Drosophila melanogaster: one gene and its partners. The protein of the gene in region 1 interacts with the protein of each later gene in a pairwise test. Each region holds a gene or a part of one and is shown on either strand. Other genes may lie near its edges. The genes, in order: CG31626, Sirt4, Dora and teq.

The links.
Region 2: the proteins of CG31626 (region 1) and Sirt4 interact in a two-hybrid assay, tested with the Drosophila melanogaster proteins (one large-scale study listed by BioGRID).
Region 3: the proteins of CG31626 (region 1) and Dora interact in a two-hybrid assay, tested with the Drosophila melanogaster proteins (one large-scale study listed by BioGRID).
Region 4: the proteins of CG31626 (region 1) and teq interact in a two-hybrid assay, tested with the Drosophila melanogaster proteins (one large-scale study listed by BioGRID).

What each region holds. Positions count from the first base shown.
Region 1 is NT_033779.5:21,231,660-21,238,944, forward strand, and holds CG31626 (uncharacterized protein), read right to left. Parts: upstream 5,075-7,285; 5' UTR 4,985-5,074; intron 2,377-4,984; exon of another isoform or gene 2,244-2,376; 5' UTR 1,979-2,243; coding exon 1,976-1,978; exon of another isoform or gene 1,841-1,975; coding exon 986-1,840; 3' UTR 836-985; downstream 1-835.
Region 2 is NC_004354.4:5,663,563-5,668,069, forward strand, and holds Sirt4 (sirtuin 4), read right to left. Parts: upstream 2,379-4,507; 5' UTR 2,307-2,378; coding exon 2,126-2,306; intron 2,066-2,125; exon of another isoform or gene 1,925-2,065; coding exon 1,167-1,924; 3' UTR 1,066-1,166; downstream 1-1,065. Other genes in the region: CG4119 (uncharacterized protein), read left to right, coding at 2,844-2,906, 2,995-3,236, 3,648-4,507. UniProt on the Drosophila melanogaster protein: NAD-dependent protein deacylase. Catalyzes the NAD-dependent hydrolysis of acyl groups from lysine residues.
Region 3 is NC_004354.4:18,861,482-18,867,230, forward strand, and holds the start of Dora (dorado), read left to right. Parts: upstream 1-2,468; 5' UTR 2,469-3,958; coding exon 3,959-4,238; intron 4,239-5,749. Other genes in the region: CG7326 (uncharacterized protein), read right to left, coding at 753-2,201. UniProt on the Drosophila melanogaster protein: Substrate recognition component of a SCF-like E3 ubiquitin-protein ligase complex that promotes target-directed microRNA degradation (TDMD), a process that mediates degradation of microRNAs (miRNAs).
Region 4 is NT_037436.4:9,072,269-9,077,950, reverse strand, and holds the start of teq (tequila), read right to left. Parts: upstream 3,309-5,682; 5' UTR 3,173-3,308; coding exon 3,122-3,172; intron 2,888-3,121; coding exon 2,329-2,887; intron 2,280-2,328; coding exon of another isoform or gene 2,085-2,279; intron 1,932-2,084; coding exon of another isoform or gene 1,686-1,931; intron 1,633-1,685; coding exon of another isoform or gene 1,156-1,632; intron 1,094-1,155; coding exon of another isoform or gene 930-1,093; exon of another isoform or gene 495-929; intron 1-494. Other genes in the region: CG4942 (uncharacterized protein), read right to left, coding at 3,632-4,222, 4,280-4,744; CG4911 (uncharacterized protein), read left to right, coding at 5,321-5,463.

The DNA of each region.
Region 1 (7,285 bases):
TCCATTATAACGTTAAGAAGATGGTACTAAATCAAAAAAGGGCGAAAACATAATGTTCACAATAAAACTATTTATTATTAGTGGAAAGTATTTGAAATTCGATGTTTTCTATTGCCTTATAATGAAATTAATTAAAAGAGGATAGATTTTTAACAGCGCCCAACAAAGGTTAGCATTGGTTACAATGGCGCTTTCCCATTTGATATGCCCAAAAAATGTAAAATAGCAAAGCTAGACTGCGTGAAAGTCCTTGTAGAATTAAGTGATCCTGGTGAGAGAGAGCGGTGAAGGTGTGGAAGTTAAAATTTGGGACAATTTGGACCTCATATCAATTTTAATAAGGGGAAACATTTGAATTTTGCATAAGGGAACAAGCGAAATTGGAATTTCAAAATATCATTATGACTACAAAGTATTAAATATGATATTCTAGTCTTCATACAATGGTTTTAACTCAAAAAGATTGACTTTTATACTAAAACGGCTACCACTTAAAACGACTATTCTTCCCAAGCCATTTATTTAAGTAGAACTGAAACTGTGCCACATTTTTCAGATTTCTCTCATATTCGCTAAATTTATTCGTTGAGTGGCTAGCGTTAACGACATCTCTTTGCGAAAATTTGCCAACGCAGTTATGGCCTACACCTCAGGTCATCTTTGTATAACCTGCCGTTGTTGAAACCGCTCGGTAAACGCTACGTAAGCCGGCAGATCGCGTCTCTAAAGGCTTTATGGTGCTAAATTTAAATACTCGTTTTTAAAAGGGACAGCGAAACCGCGGAACACTGGACCCGTTCGTCCATTTCAATTTTGCAGCGAGCTTATATTTTTTGTTTTGTAATTTTTTTATTAGCTAAAATCTCAACGGGAACTTTGCGTAACAACAAATATTCAACAACAATGGGCGACGGCACTTGTTAATTTAACAAGCTGTCACCACTCAAATGGCTGCGGAACTCTTTGGAATCCACCTGATGTCCATTTAGAAGCGGAAACGCTTGGCAGGCACATTGTACTGGTAGCCCGACTCCACGGGAGCTGGGGCAGAGTAAACTGGAGCTGGAGCAGGAGCAGAGTAAACTGGAGCGGGAGCAGGAGCCGAGTAAACTGGAGCTGGAGCTGGAGCAGGAGCAGAGTAAACTGGAGCGGGCGCAGGAGCGGGAAGGTCCTGGACGGGAGGTAAATACTCGGGAGCTGGCGCAGGAGCAGAGTAAACTGGAGCTGGGGCAGGAGCAGAGTATACCGGAGCTGGCGCAGGAGCAGAATACACTGGGGCGGGAGCAGGGATGTCTTGAACAGGAGGCAGATACTCCGAAACGGGTGCTGGTGCGGGAGCAGAGTAGACTGGAGCTGGGGCTGGAGCGGAGTAAACAGGAGCAGGTGCAGGAGCGGAGTAAACGGGAGCTGGAGCCGGAGCTGGAATGTCCTGGACGGGAGGCAAGTACTCAGGAGCTGGCGCAGGAGCAGAGTAAACTGGAGCTGGGGCAGGAGCAGAGTAAACTGGAGCTGGAGCAGGAGCAGAATAAACAGGAGCTGGAGCTGGGATGTCTTGAACAGGAGGCAGGTACTCCGAAACAGGTGCTGGTGCCGGAGCGGAGTAGACTGGGGCTGGGGCTGGAGCGGAGTAAACAGGAGCAGGCGCAGGAGCAGAGTACACAGGAGCTGGAGCCGGCGCAGATATCACCTCCTGAACGGGTGGCAGATAAGCTGGAGCTGGAGCCGAGGGGATGTTGAAGGTCGGCGTGGGCTTGTTGTAGCTATAACCACTGCCCAGGTTAAGGTGGGAAACATCGGCGGAGGCCAAGGCGATGGCGCACACAGCGAAGACGAAGAGTTTCTAAAATAAGCGGAAATTTAAGGGTCAAGTGAGCGATCGGGATCCCCGACATCTTGACGGTTGGCCAAGGCGAGCGGTTGAGCAAGGCCAACGGCTTTCTTGATCGAAGTTGTGACCAGTGGACAGTTTACTCACCATTGTTATTGATTTGTTGGTCGGGCTTTTAAAGTTCGTTGGATTTGCTTTGGCAAGCTCTTGTCGCAAGACGCTCAAGCTGAATGATGTCGAACTGCAGATGGGCCCGCACTTTTATACCAAAAGCCATGCTTAACTTGGTCTGGCCCATTATTATTGCTGGATATCCGTCTTCGCGTCTTCGGTGTGGGCCTGGCGCTTCTTCTAGTCGAAGAAAAGGTAGACAGTTAAGAAGAGAGCGGAGCAGTGATCATTAACCCAGAGGCGGCTGTTGGGCGATCAAAACGAAACAAAGATATATTTATTTTATTTTTCCCTTTGATCTTACGTATTAACATTAAGAAACGTTAATTTTCAAGTTTTGAATATGGTTTAGGGAGAATTAAAAAAAAAAAAACTATAATATTCGCCTTGTTTAATACATGATTAAGTCGTTAATTAATTAAACTACATTAAATTCTACTTAAAGGTTATTTGCTTAGGGTATTTTAGTTTCTTAAAGCAAAAGTTGAGATCTGTTATTTTTTTTTAAATTATTTGGACCAAGCATTCATATGGGAGCACACTTTTTATAATTAACTGACAGCTCTAACAAAGAAACCACACCCAGATGCATAGAAAAACAAGGGGAGTTTTCGATATATTGGAAAACTGTTCATGCTAATACAGTAAAATGTATTATCACAAGAAACCCAACCCGAGCAGACCAACTGCCCGGGCAGTCTTCGATGCAATTTTTTAGTGCCCAGCGCGGGGTTAAGACCGTGACAGTTCGCCGGCAGCCGCTCGTTGATATCGGGGGATTTGGACGGGTTTGGCAATGTCAATAGGGCAGCTTGGCCGCGAGACTCCGCCGACGAGCGGCCACGGGACACGCCAACACTCATTTGCATGCGAGGCAGCTGGCCACGAAGCGATTAAAGGGCCTCTGCCGGCTAATGTCAAAGGTCAACTGATATGCGTTCGCCGGTGCAGTTAGCGGAAATCAGTTTGTTTAACTATTAGCCGGTGCTAATGACCAAACTACATGCTCGACCAAGCGCTCAAGGATTACCAGCTTGGCGTTAGCCTCAGAAAACTTGTAAATACGGACACACACCTATATACGTATATACACACATATGTGGGGTTATTATTTTGAATATTAAATGGGACTTACCCCACTTATGGGTCGAGTGGAAACCACCCAAGCTGAAGCTGAATCTGATTGGGCATTATAAGGGCATTTTTGCCCAATCGTGAGACAACATTTTTCGGGACTGTGACACCTCACTGTTTTGTAAACAGCCTCTAAAGCGTTTAATAGCTATTGTCCCCTATAGTTACGAAAATATGATTCCTACATTTTGATTGATAACTGGGCTCAGAAAAGTACCCATATACTTAAACGTAACTAACTTTTAGAAATACGTACACAAAGACAACGTTCCAAAAATATTTAAACATTTTGAAACATTTTTCGCTTGCGATCGACCCTCACCCGGCGCTCTGCTTATTGATATATTACTAATCGCAGACTCGCATATGGTTTAATTTCCAATGCAAAAATGCTGCATTTGAAAGCATCTGTCACTTAAGCGAAACCTATTCATGAGGCATCGCGAATTTGCTTAGCCTACTTTAAACCACCAGTGTCATATTTTTTTGTTACAGAAAAAGAAGGAGCCGCAAATGGTAAATAAAACAGGCGTAATCCGTTTTAATAATTCCAATTTTAAAAAATTCACACAGCAACCACGATTCGAAATGAGAAACGTGGCTTGGCTTGTCTTGCACAAAAATGTATTTTCGTCGATATTTTCTGCCCGCGGTCTCACTTAATTAACCAATTAGCTAACCACATCCAAAGACATTTAAATGGAGAATACCCATATTATGCACGGCAAACATATGCCAATGTGGATCGTAGTCGATCCGAGTCAAGAATGTTTTCTTCATCTAAAAATGCGTGAAAATACAATATAACATATGGATTGAAGACTTAGCATTAGCATATATGCGCAATTTATCAATTTAAATATTACGCAATAAATAATGTAAATGCAGTGGCCGACCAAAGCTCAATATCTCTGACACTAATAAGTTGTATCTACCGAAAACTAAAGCTAAGCTTAAATGAGAGCTTTGGGGTCGTCTATTAATGTCTTTATAGGCGGCTATACACGACCAATTCCATTGTATGTCACTTGAACTTGCTTCAATATCTGATTGCCTCTGATTTCGCAACCACTCCGTAGTATACATATGTATGTACATTTATCTAGAATTCAGTAATAAAGGAGTGTTTCACAGTTTAGACTACAGACAAGTCAGTGCTATTGGGATGGACAACACCATTTAGATCAGAGCTTGTCCACCAGATACCCATCACACATACCCATTCATAGCAGTGTCAGCTTGATGGACATGGTTAGTGAAACACGAGTACTAATATGTTCTAAGGAACTCATTGCAAATCCAGTAATATTTATTAGGATGGAATTTATAAAATAACATTACAAACTAATTTAAGTTGTTTCGTTCAAAATATACACACATGTCTGACGATATATAAGAAATCGTTTATTATACCTGTTACAATTCATCCGATAAAATGTCTAACAGATATAAAATATATTCTTATTAAGCCGAGTCGATGCTCAACCTTTCTAGCTTTTATAGTTCCTGATATCTCGACGTTCATATGGACAGACGGACATGACCAGTTCGACTCCGCTATTTATCCTGATCAAGAATATATACTTAATATGGCCGGAAACGCTTCCTTCTGCCTATTACATACTTTTCAACGAATCTAGTAAACCCTATTACTCTACGAGTAACGGGTATAAAAACAATTAGCTTATGTATTAATAAGCGTGTTTCGTTTAGGATAAAACGATACGATATTACCAAACGTGGTGATTTAAATTTCCCGTGTGGAAAATCTAATCTGAGACAAAATATTCCAATTCTCTTATTTATGTGTGTTTATATTGTTTAATTTGTATTATGAGTAACAATATTTACATAATTAATACAACTGTTATTTAATTATAGAACAAATTGAAAACACTTCTTGAAGAATGTGGGTAATTAGTTATTTCCTAGAGGTCATCTAAAACTGTTATTATAAATTATCGACTACTTTGAAACAATTTGAACTAAGTATTATCATAGACTTAAACCACTAACAAAAGTTGATCGCTTTTATCAGTCTGGAATTAAATTATTTTACAAGTGGGCTCCATAATAGCAATCTACTATCGATAAAGTGCGAACGAATTCGAACTATTCTTTCCCGGTTAACGAATACAAAAAACTCGAATAGCGTCGGCGTATTTTCTCTGGATGAAAATTTTTTGTGAAACTTCCTATTTGATCTGACTTCGGACTATCAGGAAAAAGTAAAAAGGTTTATTGGTAAATGAGCGACAATTTAAAAAATAATGAAAATATAAAAGACCATTACGTCGTAAGACCACCGTTCCAAATTCACTAGTAACCCACCGTCGCTGCCTTGACGTATTTTGTCCCGCTATCAGATCTGTGTTCGTAAAGTGGCAGTGTGCAGCAACAGCTCGCAGAAAGGTGGCAACGCTCGCTAACAGACCGAGAGCTCCACTAACAAAACAAACATTTTGCTACTTCGTCGCAGGCGGGACTGTGTTGCGTCGTGTGATCGCTAGAGCGGTTGTGGAATCGGATTCGAGCGCAAAACACCGTTCATGCTGTGAGCGAAAAAGAGTGGTAGCGCCTACAGTGGCATATGTAGTTAAATCCGTGAATAAGTGAATAAGAATATATGTATGTACTTAATTCGAAAACCTTTTCGCCGTCAGCACAACGGGTGAACGAGAGAGCGGAAGTGGAGTTTTTTGTGGCGGGTCGTCTCGCTCGCACCGCAAAGGTCGTCCGTGGCTGCGTGTATGGGTGTGTGGAAGAGGCGTCGAGGTGAATGTGGATTTCTAACCACACCAGCATTGCAAAGACATTGATTGATATTTAAAGCTGCAGCAGCGAACCAAAGCAAATCCTAATTTCGGCAAAGTTTAAGAATAACGAGTGACTGGGGCGCGCGCAATAAGATAAAATTGAAGGTTATTCTGTGTGCGTGTGAGTGACCCGTTTACCAGTGTGTGTGTGCGAGCGTTCCATTGTAAACAAAAAAGCAAGTGTTGTGAGCGGAGAGAAGAAAGGGAAAGAGAGAAAGAGCGAACAGACTGGCGAGAGAAAAAAGAGATTGCGCACGAAGAAAGCAGCGCACAAAGCGAACGCTGAAAATGTCAATAAACTCTGCGAAAGGTGAGGAAAACGCAACAAGAGCGCCGCAGTCGTGTAAAATAAAACCCAAGACTCAAAGAAAGCAGTAGAAAGAGGCAAGTGCAAGAGCAGAACTTGTGCGTGTGAGTGCTGGTGTAGTGTGTGTGGGAGAGAAGAGTTCGAGTGTTTGTTCTGATTGGACAGAGTGTGCAGAAAAGTTTTTCTGGTTTCGATTCGCTTGCAACAGTTTCCGCGTTTTCAGCTCCAACAAGTTTCGTCGATTTTTCGCGTCTGCATTTTGTTTATTTTATTGTGAATTCGTTGACTTGCTTGCTCGCTCGTTAACCCATACAAGTGCGCCCGCCGCGACGCTGGATGAGTAATTTACCGTTATTAATTCACAGGTGAAAAATCCGATATTTGTCGTGCAATAATTTCCTCGATTGGCATCAAGTGGCTTCCAGTCGGGTACATATTGCACAAGAAATGTTATACGCATAATGTGCACGCAAATTAAACGAATTCTCTATGAAAATGTGACTAGAATGTGAGTCGAACAAAACGAGTAAAACGTGAAATCCCAACTGGCTTTTGGGTAACAAATCTTATCAACACAGCAACGGAAATACATTAAAATCTTGATAGACTGAGAAAGGGACAATTGGAATACTTTTAGTTATTTTTAAATGGTAAGATAATCTCCTTTCCTTAAAAACAAAATGTTCCCATAATTTTTTAGGTATTTTAAAATGGTAAGATGATCTCATTTCCTTAAAAACAAAATGTTCCCATAATTGATGTCCATGATGTCCATCCCATAACTTGATGTGATTTCAAAAGGAACATCGTGAAAACTGGGCGAATCGTATAAACCATATGCTTTCATTTCATTTGTATTTAAGGACAACAATATAGGGGCTGTAAAAATTACCATTTTTTAAGTGATTTAATATTCCTTTGTCCTTTAAATTTAAAGATCCAAGAGGCCCAATTCAAGCGCTATATTTTCTTATCCCCTTCCACAGAGTCAAAGTAGGCTTTTCGAATCCCTGAAATCAAAACAAAATT
Region 2 (4,507 bases), on another chromosome or scaffold:
GGAGGACTATTATTTTGACTATTATTATTATGGATTATTATTATTATTATTATTATTATCCATATTATTATGGATAAAAATCAGACTGTTTTTGGGCAGAAAATCAGTATACGATTTTTGGCAAGCCTTCATTATTTGCAAAATGGTTTTTCCTTATAACACCGCTTAAATGGTCATATTGCTAAAAGAATTACTGTTTTGTGTTGCTTATTACCAATGCTAAACATCCATATCACTTTTTGGAAGATTTACAAAATTTTAATTTTTTCAAGATTTTTCATTTTTAGTAAGGGGTAACATCATCAAAATTTGCAAAAATTGGCAAAATTTTAAAATGCCTAAATTTGATTTTCCATCACTTGGGGGTCAAATTACGAGATCAACGAGGTATGACATTCCATTTTTGGACCAAGAATTTCAATGATATGGTTAAGAATCTGACCATTTTGGACATAAAATCAGTAGACGAGTATGTATGATAGAAATTGTCATATATAAAGGATATAATGCTGCTTAAATATGCTAACCATGACCACTACTTAATATAATTATATTATTATTATTATTATTCTTAGCAGTCCTTCGATTTTGCCCATTGTGCGAGGTCTACGCATTGTTTTTCTAGCAGGAATGGACGATTGTCGTAGGAGGGGGGGTAATGAACCGCGTGTGAAAAGTGTCACTGGCCGTGTATGTGTGTGTGCGATGTGTGTTTGTGTGTGCGAGCGGGAGATGCCGATGCCTCAATTGCGGTTCATTTATATGGAGCACTGAGAGCAGCGGCCTGGAGCAAAAACAAAAACATTCAACGGGAGCGAGCGGAAGTGCGCAGCTCTCCCCGGCGCTCCTGCTTCCGCTTCCTGTTGGGATGTGCTGGAATTTCAGAGCACAGGACACTGAGAGAGACAGAGAGGACATGGACTCGGAACCCATGTGCTTGGGGGATGAGCGAATCCTTTTCCCGGAAAGCGTGTCATTGTGTTTCGCTCCAGAGGAGCCTGCGCGAAAATGATCCAAAGGCACAGCCATAAATCAGGAGCTCCGTTGCAACGCTACATTCCATTTGCAAATAGTAATCATTAACATTTATTTTTTAGCTAAAATAGAAAGCCTGGCTTTCCATAACTACAAATTTAGTGGGGGTCAACATATAACAACTGTGAGTATTAACTGACGCTTTTCGAATTGCGAAAGTCGAACAGTTTGGGTATGACATCGCCGCACTTGGCGGATATCTTGATATCCGCCAGGTGATCGGCGCGCGTTTCGCCAATATTAACAATGCCCACCGGTAGCTTGAGGTCCTTGGTCTGCAGGACAACGCGGTAGCCGGAGAAGACCAGGAGACTGGACCCGAGGACAAGCAGGCCATCGCTATTGTACACCATGCCGGCAATCTGATCCACTCGTGGCCGAGGCACAGAATCTCCGAAGAAGACAATTTCCGGCTTCAAGTCGCCGCCGCACTGCGTACACTCGGGTATCCGGAAGTTCTCGATGTACTCCAGCGGTATCTCTACATCGCCATCGGGCCGGATCATGTCGGGGGCATCTTTGAAGGCCGGATTTAGCGACGCCAGTATGCTCTGGAACTCGTGACGATCGATCCGGTACTCGCATGACAGGCACTTGACCACATAGCCACTGCCATGAACCTCCACAACATTTCGGCTGCCCGCCTTCGTGTGCAGCCGGTCCACGTTCTGGGTGACCACCGCCTGGACCCGCTCCTCCCGCTCGAATCTGGCCAGCGCGTGATGCGTGGCATTGGGCTGTGTGGCAGAAAACTTGGGCCAGCCCACAAAGTTCCTGGCCCAGTACCGCTTGCGCACCGCCGACGACTTGACGAACTCCATGTGCTGGACGGGCTTGTGGTTGGAGCGGGCGTAGAGGCCCACGCCTTCGGAACGGTAATCGGGAATCCCTGGAATTTATTTCAAGTTTTTAGACAGCCAGAAATGTTGATTTAAATAAAATACTAATGCGAATCCAAGTATAAGCTAGAAGTCACTTGCATTAGCATTATATAAATAAATGAATAATGTACAAGCTTTTGGAAGTCAATCTGAAATATTTGTGTTAATGGCTTCTGAACATAGAAAAGTCGGAAAATCATGAAACTCACCCGATTCCGTCGAGATGCCAGCGCCCGTGAGAACCAAAACATTCGGTTTGGACAGGAGAAAGTCCTCCAGCCGTTTGATGTCGTCCTCCACGACGGGCTTGTGATGCGGCACGTACTCCTGCCTGGCGGTGGAGCTGCGCAAGCTGGTGCTCCGGAAGCGGAGCAGCTGGCCCACACGCATTGTTTTGTTATGTATTATTGCAAGTAATATTTGGTTCTTTTTCGGTTACGTTACTAGAGGTGAGCGCACGCACATCGATGGCAACTCCTTCAGTCGCTTACCGCTGTAAATCGATTGTATGCCCCGCAATGGCAATCGATAACTGTACGACCCCCATCGATTTTTACACGCCATCAGCCGATAGCAGCTTGCCAGCAGCTACCATCTCTAGAGCAACGGCTGCAGAAAAAAGATATTCTATTCGGTAATTTACGCGTGGATTTATCACGCGCCGTGAACCCAGAAGTTACAGGCCAACCTTTCCGAGATTCGATCAGTGAACCTTGCGGGCGTCCAGCTTCGTAAGCACGAAACAGGACATTCACACACATATTTATCACTCCGTGTGGCGTTTGCGCCCATCCGTGCGTGCCTGTGTGTGTGTGTGTCGCTCGTCTGTGCGTGCGTGAGTGTGTTTGTGAATTGTCGGCTTTAATTTTGCAAGCTCGCTAAAGTTGTGTTTTCAAAGGACATCGCAAAGGAGTCGCAGCGCACAAGATGTCGTACCCGCCGCGGGCGCCCATGCCGCCCTTCATGAATACAGCCATACCGCCGCCGCACGTAAGTCCACCTTTTCTGGGTCACAATCACCATGAAGCTGTCAGAATCTGACGCCAAATCCTTTTCCACCTACTCCATCCGCTTTCAGATAATGCAGAACATGGCCAAGCCGCCGAGGAGCTTCCGTAACTCGGCCACCATTAGTTCACAGCCGACAGTATACCAACGTCCGCCGGAGCCGCAACCACAGTTCCGCGGACCCATCATTACCGTCTTCGTGGGCAACATCAGCGAACGCGTCCCGGAGGCACTGCTCAAACGCATCCTGAACGCTTGCGGCGTGGTAATCAATTGGAAACGGGTGTCCACATTCGGCTTCTGCGAATTTGAGTACGTTCAACCATAAATCGGTCATCCCAAAATCACTTTAGAAGGCTTAGGGCAGCACAAGAAGGTTTCGTTAGTTAAATAACGCTAGAAAAGTAATTGAAGAGCCATTGCATAAACAGCAGCATAACGCATCTCACTCGTTGTTTGATGCGTTTCCTAGAATAGCTTAGCTTATTTATAAAAAGATTGAAATACTTCTAGGAATGCTCCCTACTGCGACAGCTCTTCAAATTCTATATGCGCGATCGAATAACTACTCGAGCACTTTTAAGTAACCTAACTTTAAGCAATACAACACAGGGTTGAGCTTGCATACATTTATGTTTAGAGCCAACGGGCAGTCCACCCATTTGGCTCTCCAATTGTTCCTATAAATACTCTGCCTAACCGCTTTCCTTGGCATTCTTTCAGCGGACCTATTGCGGCAATGCGAGCCGTTCGCCTGCTCAGCGAGATGGAAATCGATGGCAAGAAGCTGGTAGCCAAGGTAGATGCCAAGAACAAGGTTCTCATCGAGGATTACAAGGAGCAGGAGTGCAAGAACGGCGATCGTTCCAACCCAGTGGACGAAAAGACCGAGGACGAGTTCGCCATTGCCCAGATGCACGAATTCCTGGAAGAGCACAAGCACGAGTTCGAAGGATTCGATAGCAGCAGTCGCGCCGATTTGTACGGCAGCGCCAATCGCAATAAGAAGACACGCCGCGAGGAAGACATAAAGATGAAGGTGCTAAGCGAAAATACCCTGGAGGAAGAAAAGCGCAACTTGATTAGCAGCGAGATAGGCAAATTCCGTATGCGTGCGGAGGAAGACGAGCACCGCAAAGAGCTGGAGAAGGAGAAGGAAAAGGAGAAGCTTGCGGCCAGCAAGGAGAAGGAGCGCAAAAAGCAGCGCGAAATGGAGCGAATGTCGTCGACCAGCAAGTCTGGCAGCTCATCGACAGCGGCCGCCAGTTCCTCCAGCGCTACAGCCACCTCTTCGACACCCGCCGCCGATGGGGCTGACATGTCGGATAAGACAGACAAGGAATCAGTCGCTGTTGTGATCAAGGAAACAGTTAAGGAGTCAAAGGAATCTGCCTCCTCCACCGGACGCAAGGAGTCGTCGTCGGCTGCCATCGAGATAACACAGAAGGAGCGCCGCTCTGACTCAAAGGAGACACGTCGCCGCCGCTCCAAATCCCGCTCCAAGGATCGCGAACGGGAACGTGAGCGTGAGCTGCGCGAGCTTCGCGACAAGGAGCGCGAACGTGAAAGGGATCGGGAGCGTG
Region 3 (5,749 bases), on another chromosome or scaffold:
GTATATATTTATAATATATGTTTTTCGTAAGCAATAACTTTTCTTTTTTCGTTTAGTCCATTTTTTGTTTTTTTTTTTGTTTTGGTAAGTCACATTTTGGAAAACTTGTTAATTCAGTTCTTTGAAAATATATTAAAATTGAATATTTTCAATATTTCAATTTTACTTTTAAACTATTACTCTACTCTCATTTTTTTCTCGTTAACTTAAGTGAATTAATAGGGAACGTCAAAGTGTAAGCAAAAGCAAACAATCTTCTTACTTTTCTTCAAAACATGTGCAGTGCGTTTCGCAGCTGTAAGGCCAAGACATTGGCACTTACAGTCACGGAACGCACTGCATTTGTGCTAGTACATACATATATATAGAAGTCGTTTATCCAGCTAATACTTGTTGCAAAACGTTTGTTAAACTATATATAATATACATATATATATATAACGATCGAGTCAAGCAATAAAATCAAAATTTTCTTCACAAAACAATAAATAGTCTTTGGCGTTATCAATTCCGCGTACTGTTAATTCATTCTAAGCGAATGTATAACGATAAACAAAAGCAAAGGATGTGAGGATTTGAATCAAAGGCATAGTAAAGTATTTTGGATGGAATTGATTATCAATCAAGGGCTAACTTTAAAAAAAAAATATCTTTGACAAATTATTGGGCCAAGTCCGTCTTTGTATAGTGAAAACAAGTAACATAGTTTCCGACATACAAGCTATGCTTGATTTTTGAATCGGATTGGGTCACTACTTGTCCTCCGGCGAGGCGGAGGTGGCCATTTTGGCGAAAGACCGCGGCGGAGTGGGGCTGCGTTTCTGCAGGGTACGCATGCCGAGCGAGTAAGCCGCCGTGTCCCCCGAAGCGGTGTCCGTATCCGAGTACTCGTCATCGCTCTCGCTGGCATGTCCTGCATCCGTCTCGTACGGATCCACCTCCTTCTGATACACGTTGCTCATTTGATCCGTAAACACATCCGAAGCGACGACCCCGCCGTCGTGTTGATCCTCGTTCTCATAAAAGAAGTACGACAACTGCAGGTGCTCCTCCGCACAGTTCGTGCTCAAGGCGTCCGGAATCAAGTGGCCATTCGTCTCGAGGCGCTTCTGAATCTTTAGGAACATGTTCGGTGATACATCCATTTGGGGCAGCGTCTGCTGCGCCTGCCACTTCTCCAGCAGCGGCGGATTGGCTCCAAAAACGCCGTAGTACAGCTTGCAGGCGCGAAAGCAGCGTAGTCGGTTCGAATTTGGGCGAATGCGACGCAGCACACGCAGCTGTGACTCCACCACGTGCAAAAACATGTATTGCTGATTTCGGTTGGGCAGCGAGGTGACCAGCACCGCACGACTGGTGTTCAAACAGAGCTGAGGCAACGGTTGAGGCCACAGCGAGTGCAGCAGACGCTTGAAAAGCTGCGTTAGCGTGGAGTTTTGGAAGAAGTGGCGATCGGGGGCATTTGTCGCCGCTCCTGCGGGACGCCAACGTACTGCATCAGCCCAGATGCGAGCGGCGGCGCCATCGAACATGGTCAGCCCCAAATAACGCATGCAGCGCTGGCAGTACAAGTGATCGTCGCGATTGAGCATGCACGAACTTTCTTCGTTAAAGTTGATGACCACATAGTTGAGGCCATAGAAAAGATCCGTTTCGGCGGGCACTAAGCTAATTGGTTGGGTCTTGCCCGCTGGTCCATGATTGTGGCAAAAGAACTCAGTGGGATCCACCAAGAGGCTGGGAAACTCCCTCAACCTGCGATAGCTTCGGCCTGCCACCAATTCCGCTCGGCAATCACGACAGTTGATAGTGATGGGCTCGTTCTCCTGGCAGGAGAGGAGTAGTGGCGCCAGAGGCACGTCCACAGCGCTTCCATCCACGCTGGCCAGATCAATCTGGTTGTAGTTGAAGCGGAAACTGATGTTCCTGCCACTGACCAAGAACGTGGACAGGCAGACAATGTCCATACCATACTGCGCGTGCCGGATGAGCATCAGCTTGTCGGAGTCCTCGCTGTCGCTTTCGGAGCTGGAATCCAAGTCGATTGCCTGATTCTTAGGTTTCTCGCTGATATAAACATTGTAGTCGCGGACGACGACGCGAGTCTTCTGGCTCTGCGAAACCTGTTGGTCGAATCGCAGGAAGACCACGCCGCTGCGTAGGTTCGGGCGCAGTTCGATGCACAGCCCGGCGATGGGCATCTTGACCAGTTCCTGGGAAAGCGCGAGAAGATTGTGAACACCACCAACAAAATGGGCCTATCGTTACTTATGGTTTTTCGATATTAAGAGCGTCACTCGACAAAAACTATCGATTGTCAAGAATGAATGTCAGTGTGACCGTCATTTGAAAACTGGGAAATCGTACGCGGAAAACCGATACTATTGACCTTATCGAATATTCAGCCGAAAATGATCGAAAACCCATATCGAGTGTGTGAGCACTATCGCTGACCACTAACACCAACAACGTTTAGGAGCAAAAGAGTCGACGATGCGATGGGTAAAAACAAAGCCCCGTGTAAAAGTGTCCGAAAACCGTGCGTAGCATCAAACAAATCGTAACTCGGCCAGCGAATCTAGGTGCCGTTGTTTTCGGGGACGCGTGTGCAGTGCCGTTTTAAGTGTCGGTAATCGCCAAAATCCACAAAAAATTTAAGGATTTTTTAAAAAAACGTTCGCTAAACGCATTTCGTTCGTTCACTCACACACACACGTAAACCTAACACACGCACAGACGCAGACAAACACAACGCGCAGCGCATATACACACACAAAGAAAAGAAGGCAGTGAAAATCGACAAGCGCACGCATGCACACACACACTGACAAGCACGCAGGCGAAAAAGTGTTGATATATATCCAATATATTGATGTTGTGTGCAACGTTGTTGTTGCTGCTGCTACTGCTGTGTGAGTGAGTGAGGGCGAGCGAGAAAGAGTGAGTGCGGTGCGCGCAGGATAAAGCGAAGATGAGCCACAAAGCGAAGGAGTGAAAAAATAATTAACGGCAAAGCGGACTGCAAAGCGCAGAGCGGATAAAAGAGGAGCGTTAACAACAATAACAACGACTGGGGGTCCCCTGCAAAATCAACAACAACAGCAAGAACCACATCAACAATAATAACAGAAGCAAGAACATCAACAACAAGAACTACAACTACAAATTGGCCCTCTTATTTCGGCAGTCGCATAGCATAGCCCCATCTCGCTCTCTCGTTCGTTGGGGGATACGAAAAAGTTCACATGCAACAACAACGACAACAAACAATAGCAGTCGCAGTCGACGCGGGCAGAGGCAGCGACAGAGACCGCGGCGCACTGAACGTATTTTGTACATATAAACAAAAATAGTTTTTAAACTCCCCAAAATCTAAATCTAAACCTAAAGTTAAGTCTAAAAGGGAAACTTAGAGCCCTAAGCATAAATCTACAGTTAATAAGTTAATTAAAAGCAAGCGAGTCCGGCAGTGTGCTTGAGTTTGAAAGGGGAGAACCGAAGGAGAGGAACACAGCGAGAGAGAAAAGAGGAAGAGAAGAACGCTCAAGAGAAATTCGCCTTTTACACGATTTTAAATTGAGCGTTTGGCAGAGATCCATTATACATATACATCCATCCAAAAAGAGAGGAGAGTAACAGTGAGAGAGACGGAGGAAGAGGAAGCTGAGGAAAACAAACAAACGGGGGAGCAGCTGAAGAAGAAGAACAAGAATCAGCTTCAGCAGTAGAAGGAGCAACTGTAAACACACACAATCTCAGCCTCACGCTGGCGAATCGCAACGGCGGCAACAACAACAGAGGAGGAGGAGGCGGCGGTAACAACAACAACAATGGAGGAGGCGGAGGAGCGGCTGCAGTCGGCGCTGGCGCCGAAGGAGCAGCAGGAGGCGGCGCAGGAGCCGGAGCGGCGGGCAGAGACGCTGCAGGAGCAGCGGCCAACGAATGGAATCCGGAGGAAATGGACCGCTTCAGCTTCGACGACTCCATCCGCTTCGAGGAAGACTCCCTCTGCAGCTGGAGCTCTGAACCGGAATCGCTGTGCAACAACTGGCGCGGCTGGAAGAAGCCCGCTGCAGGCAGCGGCGCAGGCAATGGCGGCTTGAGCGGCATGGGCGGTATGGCTGTGGCCGGCGGCTCAGGAGCACCGCCGTTCGGAGGAGCAGGAGCCTCTGGTTCCTGCACACCGGGCGGCAATGGAACGGCCATGGCCAACACATCCACCTGCGGCAGACATTATGGTGAGTAGCATCTCCTTGTTGCTAGGGCGGGATTTAGGGCAGTGTACCCGGACCATTGAGCATTACACCAGTGAAACTACAGTTGTGAAAATCACAGATACAAATCTAAACTGAAGAGAGCTTCTTAAAATCCGAAAAACATTGTACAACATTGACAGTTTTTAGAGTTCGAAAAGTGTGCGTCCTAAAGATATCAAAAAAGTATCCTCTTTTATTCAGGAATTAAGAAAGACTTTCTCATAAGAAGCTTTCATATGTCGCATACAAAAGATATTGACTTCCTTAATTGTTTTTAAAACCATAAGGCAACCAAAATAGTTTATACCTATAACTTTCCCTTTACAATGAGAAACTTACATGTACATTTTATACAGATTTATATCCGTATAGCGTTAAATAATCAATTACTTGCTACACAATTTACTTTTTAAGCTAAGTAGAGTGATATGCTTTAGTTCTATGTTTTACTAGCTTGGTCGCATTTGGCTATTTGCAATATGGCTACACTGTGCTGCCTGTAATTATACGCATGACCTTTTCGCTTTTGGTAAATTCTGTAAAATTGACTTAGGCACAACAACGAGCAGGCTGTAATTGTTGTTGCCCTCTGTCTGCAATTGTCTTCTTCGTTTCCCCGCATTTCCTCGAAGTCCTCTGCTTATCGCTGAAGTCAAAATCACGACTTTGGCTGCCAACGTTTTTTATTTTCATTCGTTTATACGAGTTTCCTTTTTACCTTTTTGTTGCGTCCCTTTGTCTTTCCCTGTGGCTCATTACGCTTGTGCATGTGGCTGGGGTATTGTTTTTTTTTTTTGTTTCGGGCCTGCCAAGAGACGTTCCTTACACGTTTTCTGTATCCTGTGCGCCGCCGCACAGCACTATCATCATGTAATATCTGGATATCTGGCTGCGACTGCGCAGTTCGTCCTCGTCGCTGTTTCTCTTTCGTATCCTCCATTCGTCTTCGTCATTTGCCCATCCACTGCATTCGTTTGCTTATTTTCCTTTGTTTGACTGAGCAGTGTTGCTGTGGGGGGAAACAGGACTATATTTGGAAGGGTCAAAGGACTAAACAGAGCGGCAAAGCCGCCAAAGAACCTCCAACCATTCAGTTGTCTTCTTTGTGGATTCTTTGATAGCCAGGGTTACCAGCTTGTTGATTTTATTGATATTTATTGATACTAAGCACTAGTATTACAAAATATAGTATATGTACTAGGCAAAACTAGCTGAACTTTGCTCAATCTTAATCATTTTTATCTTTCTGTTATGTTATACAAATCTTTTACTTCCTATAAACAGAGGAGTTAGCCAAATATCTATTTGTTCATATGCTGTTGGTTTGTAAACCTAAAGGACCAATAGATAGTAGCTTAAGCTATTCGATTTTGGCGGGAAAATAGCCAAAGAGCTAGCCCTGCGACTGGGTTTGTGTGTGTGTAGTGGCGAAGCCAGCTGCATTTTCATGCTCGAAAGACATAATAACCGCATCAAAAAACTATATTGCCTCA
Region 4 (5,682 bases), on another chromosome or scaffold:
ATTCCTTCGCAGCCAGGGGGGCAGGACTTCTTTGGTTTTGTTAATGCTGGTGCTGGTGCTGGACATGCCTGGTATTTTGGAACTTCATTAATTGTGGGTATATTTTTAATATTATCTGAGTGAGTTTTCTCGAGCTTATGGGTCTTTAATTCTTGCTGATATTGCAACAAGTGGTCTAGCTCTGCATGTAGCTTTAGAGCTTTCGACCAAACCGGTGGCGTTTGCTGACCGTATATTAGCCACCTTACGTGGGCTATACGTTTATTCAGCTTAGTTTTCAAACCGCCACGGTGTTTGCCCATACTCAATAGAACTCTACTCACTCAGATTTTTCCTTGGTTTTTGCAGTTCCATTTAATTAGTCCAGTCTTCTTCCAGTCCAGTGTTCCTTTGTTCCTTTGTTTTCACCAGCTTTGGTCAATTCGTCCAGCGTTGGACGACTGTCACGGTCGCCATGTAATGATGAACTCCAATTAAGAACACAAGTCCGTTTTAAGTTGAAGGCAGCCGTCGGGCTGACATATATTTATTCAATTTCTTCTTTTGATTTTAGAGTAGGCAGAAATGGTTCTGTCAGCTCAACGTCTACAGAGTCTCTCCGATTTTACAGTTTTTTATATATTTGGACTTAGGCTAATCCGCGTAGCTGCGCTGCCGGGTACGCCAGCAGCGGAGCGGCGTTCTTATGTATATCTTATATATCTAGGCTTATCGGGAGAGCGAGATATGTATGTACGTATGTAATATGTATTTGGTCGGCGTGTGAATGCTGACCATGCACTTATACTTTTTGCCTTCGAGTGGGCAATGCACTTATACTTTGTGGCCTTCGAGTGGGTGATCATGTTACATCCGCCCTGGCCTAACTGCGTGCATAAACATAAACATAAACATAGCAACAAAGTGCTGCCATAAGTTAATATGCTATTTTATTTAATTGTTCTTAATATTGCATAGGCACATACTACACAACTCTCAATGAAGGTCTGCTGATTCCAGCACCTGACATACTTGGTGCAATCGAAGGGATGCAGATAGAGTCCCTGTGCTTGTGGAGGACAAGAAAGCGTCGAACGATCCACCATAAACTCAGCTGTAAACGAAAAAGTGGTCTGAAATCAAGTCCAAGTCATCAAGATTCCTTGAGATGCTTACTGGAAAGTTCAGCACTGATATAGGAGTAATCCAAGTAATCATGTGCAGAGAGAAGGCTACGAGGCACACATTGACGCTGGGAGAGGCTGTAAAGCTGTCCAGTGGGACAGCATATGATCTCTAATGCTCCATATTGGCACCTGACATAGTGGCCAGCATGGAATGGATAAGGGTAATTCTTCTGGACATTGGGTGGACACGATCTAAGTGAAGACAGCTGGCTTTGAACATTTCCCCGTAAGTCTTGAGAAGTATAAGTGGTCTGAACTTGGACTTCCTGCCAGAACTGCACCCGATCAGATATGTGCACTTGATGACTTGGAAGACAACTTCTTTGGGATACACTGAATGCCATCTGGGGGCCACAACTTAGGATGGACATTCTGCCACCAGACGAGCACTGAACGTACTTTTTAGCATCGTAGGGATACAAGAAGATGCCGTTGATGTTACCAGGACAGGCATTAAGGATAAGTGCTAGTAAAATATTATCATAAATTCTAGTGTACAGTGATGATAAAGTAACTTACAATACTCATAGCTGATTTCGGAGATAATTAATGTGACATAGTCGGTAAAGGCTAATTGTGCTTTTAACTGACAGTAGCGCCTCGATATGCTAAACACATAATTAGGTTGGCAGTTTTGCACAGCCGATTTACCATCCTTACAACTAAGGAATTTTGTTTGATCAAAGGGATGAACAAATTGGCCAACGGCTCCCACTGGACACAAGAGATAGTTGACCTGAATCTCAGCCGACGTGAAGGAGGAAGCTGTTACAATTCAAAGGGATCAGGATTAGAGTCTATCAACTAAGCAGGCAAGCAAAGCGTGTACAGCGTAATATGAGAAAATAACCCGAAATGAAAAAGCAGATGAATCAAGCGAGGCCAAGCAGTAGGGATAAGAAATGAAATGACACTTACAGGAGGTCCGAGGGGAGTCAGAATACACACATACCGAAGAGGAGCCATCGAAGATGTGGCCCCGTGGACACTGTTCCACCTGAGGCTTAACCCCAATTCCGCACCTCAAATACTTGTGCACGTCGTGCGGATGTGGACGAAGCCCACGTGTACCGGGTGGACAGCCCAAGTCATCAAAAGGCAACGCAGGGTAGCCTAACCGAGTGTTAGTCAAGATTTTTGTATTTAAATCACTCATACGTACCGGTGCCGGAGGTATCATCTCGTACTGCTCCAGTTCCCGATCCGCATTTGGCCAAATCCTTGTGCACACATACCAGTGATGCTGGACTAAAAGCAGTTCCTGGTGCGCAGTCCATAATAAAAGCTTGACCATTGGCGCAGTTAAGAAACTTGCTGCAATCCGAAGGATGCGGTTGCAATCCATTCACTCCCGGTTGACACTTGGGTTCACTATCTAATTGCCTAAGTCTTCCCAGTCGAGTAGATGCAGATTCCGCTGAAGGGCAAACCACATTGCTGGGATGATCGCACACCTGGGTCCTGTCATTGAACAGAGTTCCGGGCGAACACGTCTGAATGGTGGGGCTGCCATCGAAGCAGTTCACATAGCGATGACAGTCGTGGGGATATGCAACCAGACCCGTAAAATGCGGCGGGCATGCCGAATCCCGATGGTAAATAGGCTGCTGCTGGTCGCCTCCGTAACTCGAGTGTGCGTTCCCTGTTGCTGATAAGCCAACTGGTTCCGACTGCTCGCTGTGGTAGCCACTGCCTGATCGATAAGCTTTAGCCCCGGGTCGCTGTCAAAAGCGCAATTATGAAATATTATTGAACAACCGTAAGTAATTAGAGGCAAAATTTAGCTAATAGCTTGTAATTAAGTTCAATTAAAATTAAAGTCTTAAGCGCGTTTTAAATTCCTAAACAACATTTTTAGTTTGACTAAAATCTTAAAAAATTGTAAATAATCTAGAATCTAGATGATATCCTTAAAAAACACAATTTGAAATTATTAATAAACTTTCTACACTAACATCCACTAGCAGGATCGCCAGCCAAAGGCCAAGGAGCCACTTGGCCATCATTTTACGTTTCCGCTTTATAAGTATTTGAATTTAAATATTTCTTAAAATGCACCGATGCTGATAGCAACTACACAATTGTTTTTCTCGCGCTTTAAATTCTTCGTTGTGATCCCGTTCGAATTCCAGGCTCGACTGACCCACACCCAGATCGCATTTCAATTCAATTGGACTCGGGATGAATCTCTATCTCTGCCGCCGCTGATAGATGCTCTCGTTTGTCGCCAAACCAATTGAGTGGACCACACTATCAGGGCTTGTAATCTCAAGACCTTTTTGCTGTCTTATCGCCTTGTTTTGTTTGCATTTCTTTTGGGGTTTTTCACTCATTTATTTACTTCTATGAATCTGAGATGTTGGAGCTTAAGAATGATGATGATGAATTACAGTGGCGCAGTCGCATTTAAACAAACTAAACGTCATACCCAAATTAGACTAGGTGATTATGACTAAGAGACTAGATCATTTGGCTGCCGGCTTATCAGCCGGCGCCCTCTCGGCAAGTCTTAGCCTCTGCTGTATTTTTAGCCAGAGCAGATCGTACGGCTCACTGAGTTCCGTTTGTGTTTTGGGAATTCCCACAGATCGTCGCACTTCCGGCGAGAGGATGAGCAGATTTTGAGCAAGGCCAAAACTGCTGGAAGCTACCCAGTATACACATAAAGCTGAAGGCACTGTACAGGCTACTGGAACCATCACAACACTCAATCCACGGAACACATTGTTGGCGATGTTCTGCAAGCGTGTAGAAGGACGAGTTCTAGACATGGCTTGCACTTCAATGATGGCCAAATTGATAAGACCTAATGCTACAGGCAGGATATAAGAGTTATCCACCACCGTAAGGTTTGGTATCCAACCAAATCCGCCAATGGTCATTTCGGTGGTCACGATTTGAGCTTGAATGGACGTGGGATCCGGCAGCATGTACACTAAATTGCGCAGAGCCACGGATTGAAAGATCCACAGGGGAATCTGACCCCATAGCACAATCATGGTCTTCATGGGATGGCAGTTATCCCGAACTATAAGGTTCTGCCACTGCTTCTTGATCTGTAAGATAATTGACATGACGAAGAGTGTCTCGCAAACATTTGAATTTTAACAAACCGAACGCCGATAAACAATCTGAGTCTGCTTTTCGCTCCACTTGAACTTGTGCTTGGCCATGGCTGCCTCTTTTTTCAGTTCCTCCACAATGGCCGGCATCTCCAGCGCTATCTTTTCAATTCTGGCGGTGATTTTGTGCTGGTAAATGGTCAGAGGCAGGGTGACCACGCTCCGAAAAAGGAAAGTGGACAGCACGATGGACGCCCACCAGGGCAGGCCACTGTAGTCGTGGATCTTAATGAGAACATCCTGCATATAGGCCACCGGCGTGCTGTTGGACAAGGTCTGCCAATATCCCACCAATCCACCGGCATTTGCCAGTTGGACACTCGCGGCCGCCGCTTCTGTAGACGACAGACGATGATTGCATGTGTGATTCGCAATAGTTGTTCCTTGGTATGTGTATTTGTAGATGCCAGCAATTGATGAACTTCTACAGGTGCGTAAAAGAAGCAAAGCTGACATTTTTAATTAATATAAAACTAATAATCAACGTAAACAACTATATAGAATCAGCAGTGCGAGTTGTTATCATTGTGAACAGCTGATTGTTACCATAACACGGCTTCAATCAGTGTGGCCGTAGCTAGGCATTGTAGTTGCATTAACCCTTAACTTACGATGCTTTTTTTGCTATCCGAAATTAGGAAACATTGAAATGCAGTTATTAATTTGAAATCATTTAATCGTTGATAAGAGAACAATAACAAAATTTATACAGTCATTTTATACGACAGCAACACTTTTATTTCCTTTGCATTTTTACTCACTTTGAAATTTCTAAATTAATAATTATCTCGGCTTACTTAAAATGGCTAGACCTAATTTAAGTGCATAAATTGTTTTTTAATTGACGTTTAATTTCATACGTATATGCTTAAGATAAAATTGTGCTTGTATTCATATTTGTTTTCTTGGTCTTGGCATATTTGCGACCTCGTGCGACGGTCACTCTAATTTGGCATTTTAAATTGTGCAGCGTACTCGGCTGCACTTGCAACTTTTCATTGTTTGAAACGCAATTAACATTTAAATCGAGTAATGAATTTTAGCCAACGCCAACCAGAATGGCACAGAATACCATCGGTGGCACTAAATCACATATTCGACTATCTAAATCCCCAGGATCGTCGGTCGGCAGCGGGTGTATGTTTTTCTTGGAGACATGCCTTATTTCAAAAACGGTAAGTTTGTCACTGTGTGGGTGTGTCCGTATCCGTGTGGGTGTAGGTATTTGTGTATGTGGCTGAAATGTTTAATTTCAGTACTTATTGGGTATATTTCCTTTGTTATTGCCCCTTACATTATATAGCCGTGGGTTAATCAAGCGCAAAAAAACATCTGTGCAAGCAAGAACGAATCGTAGACCCCAAAACTTGTTCGACATTTATATGTTGTACTCT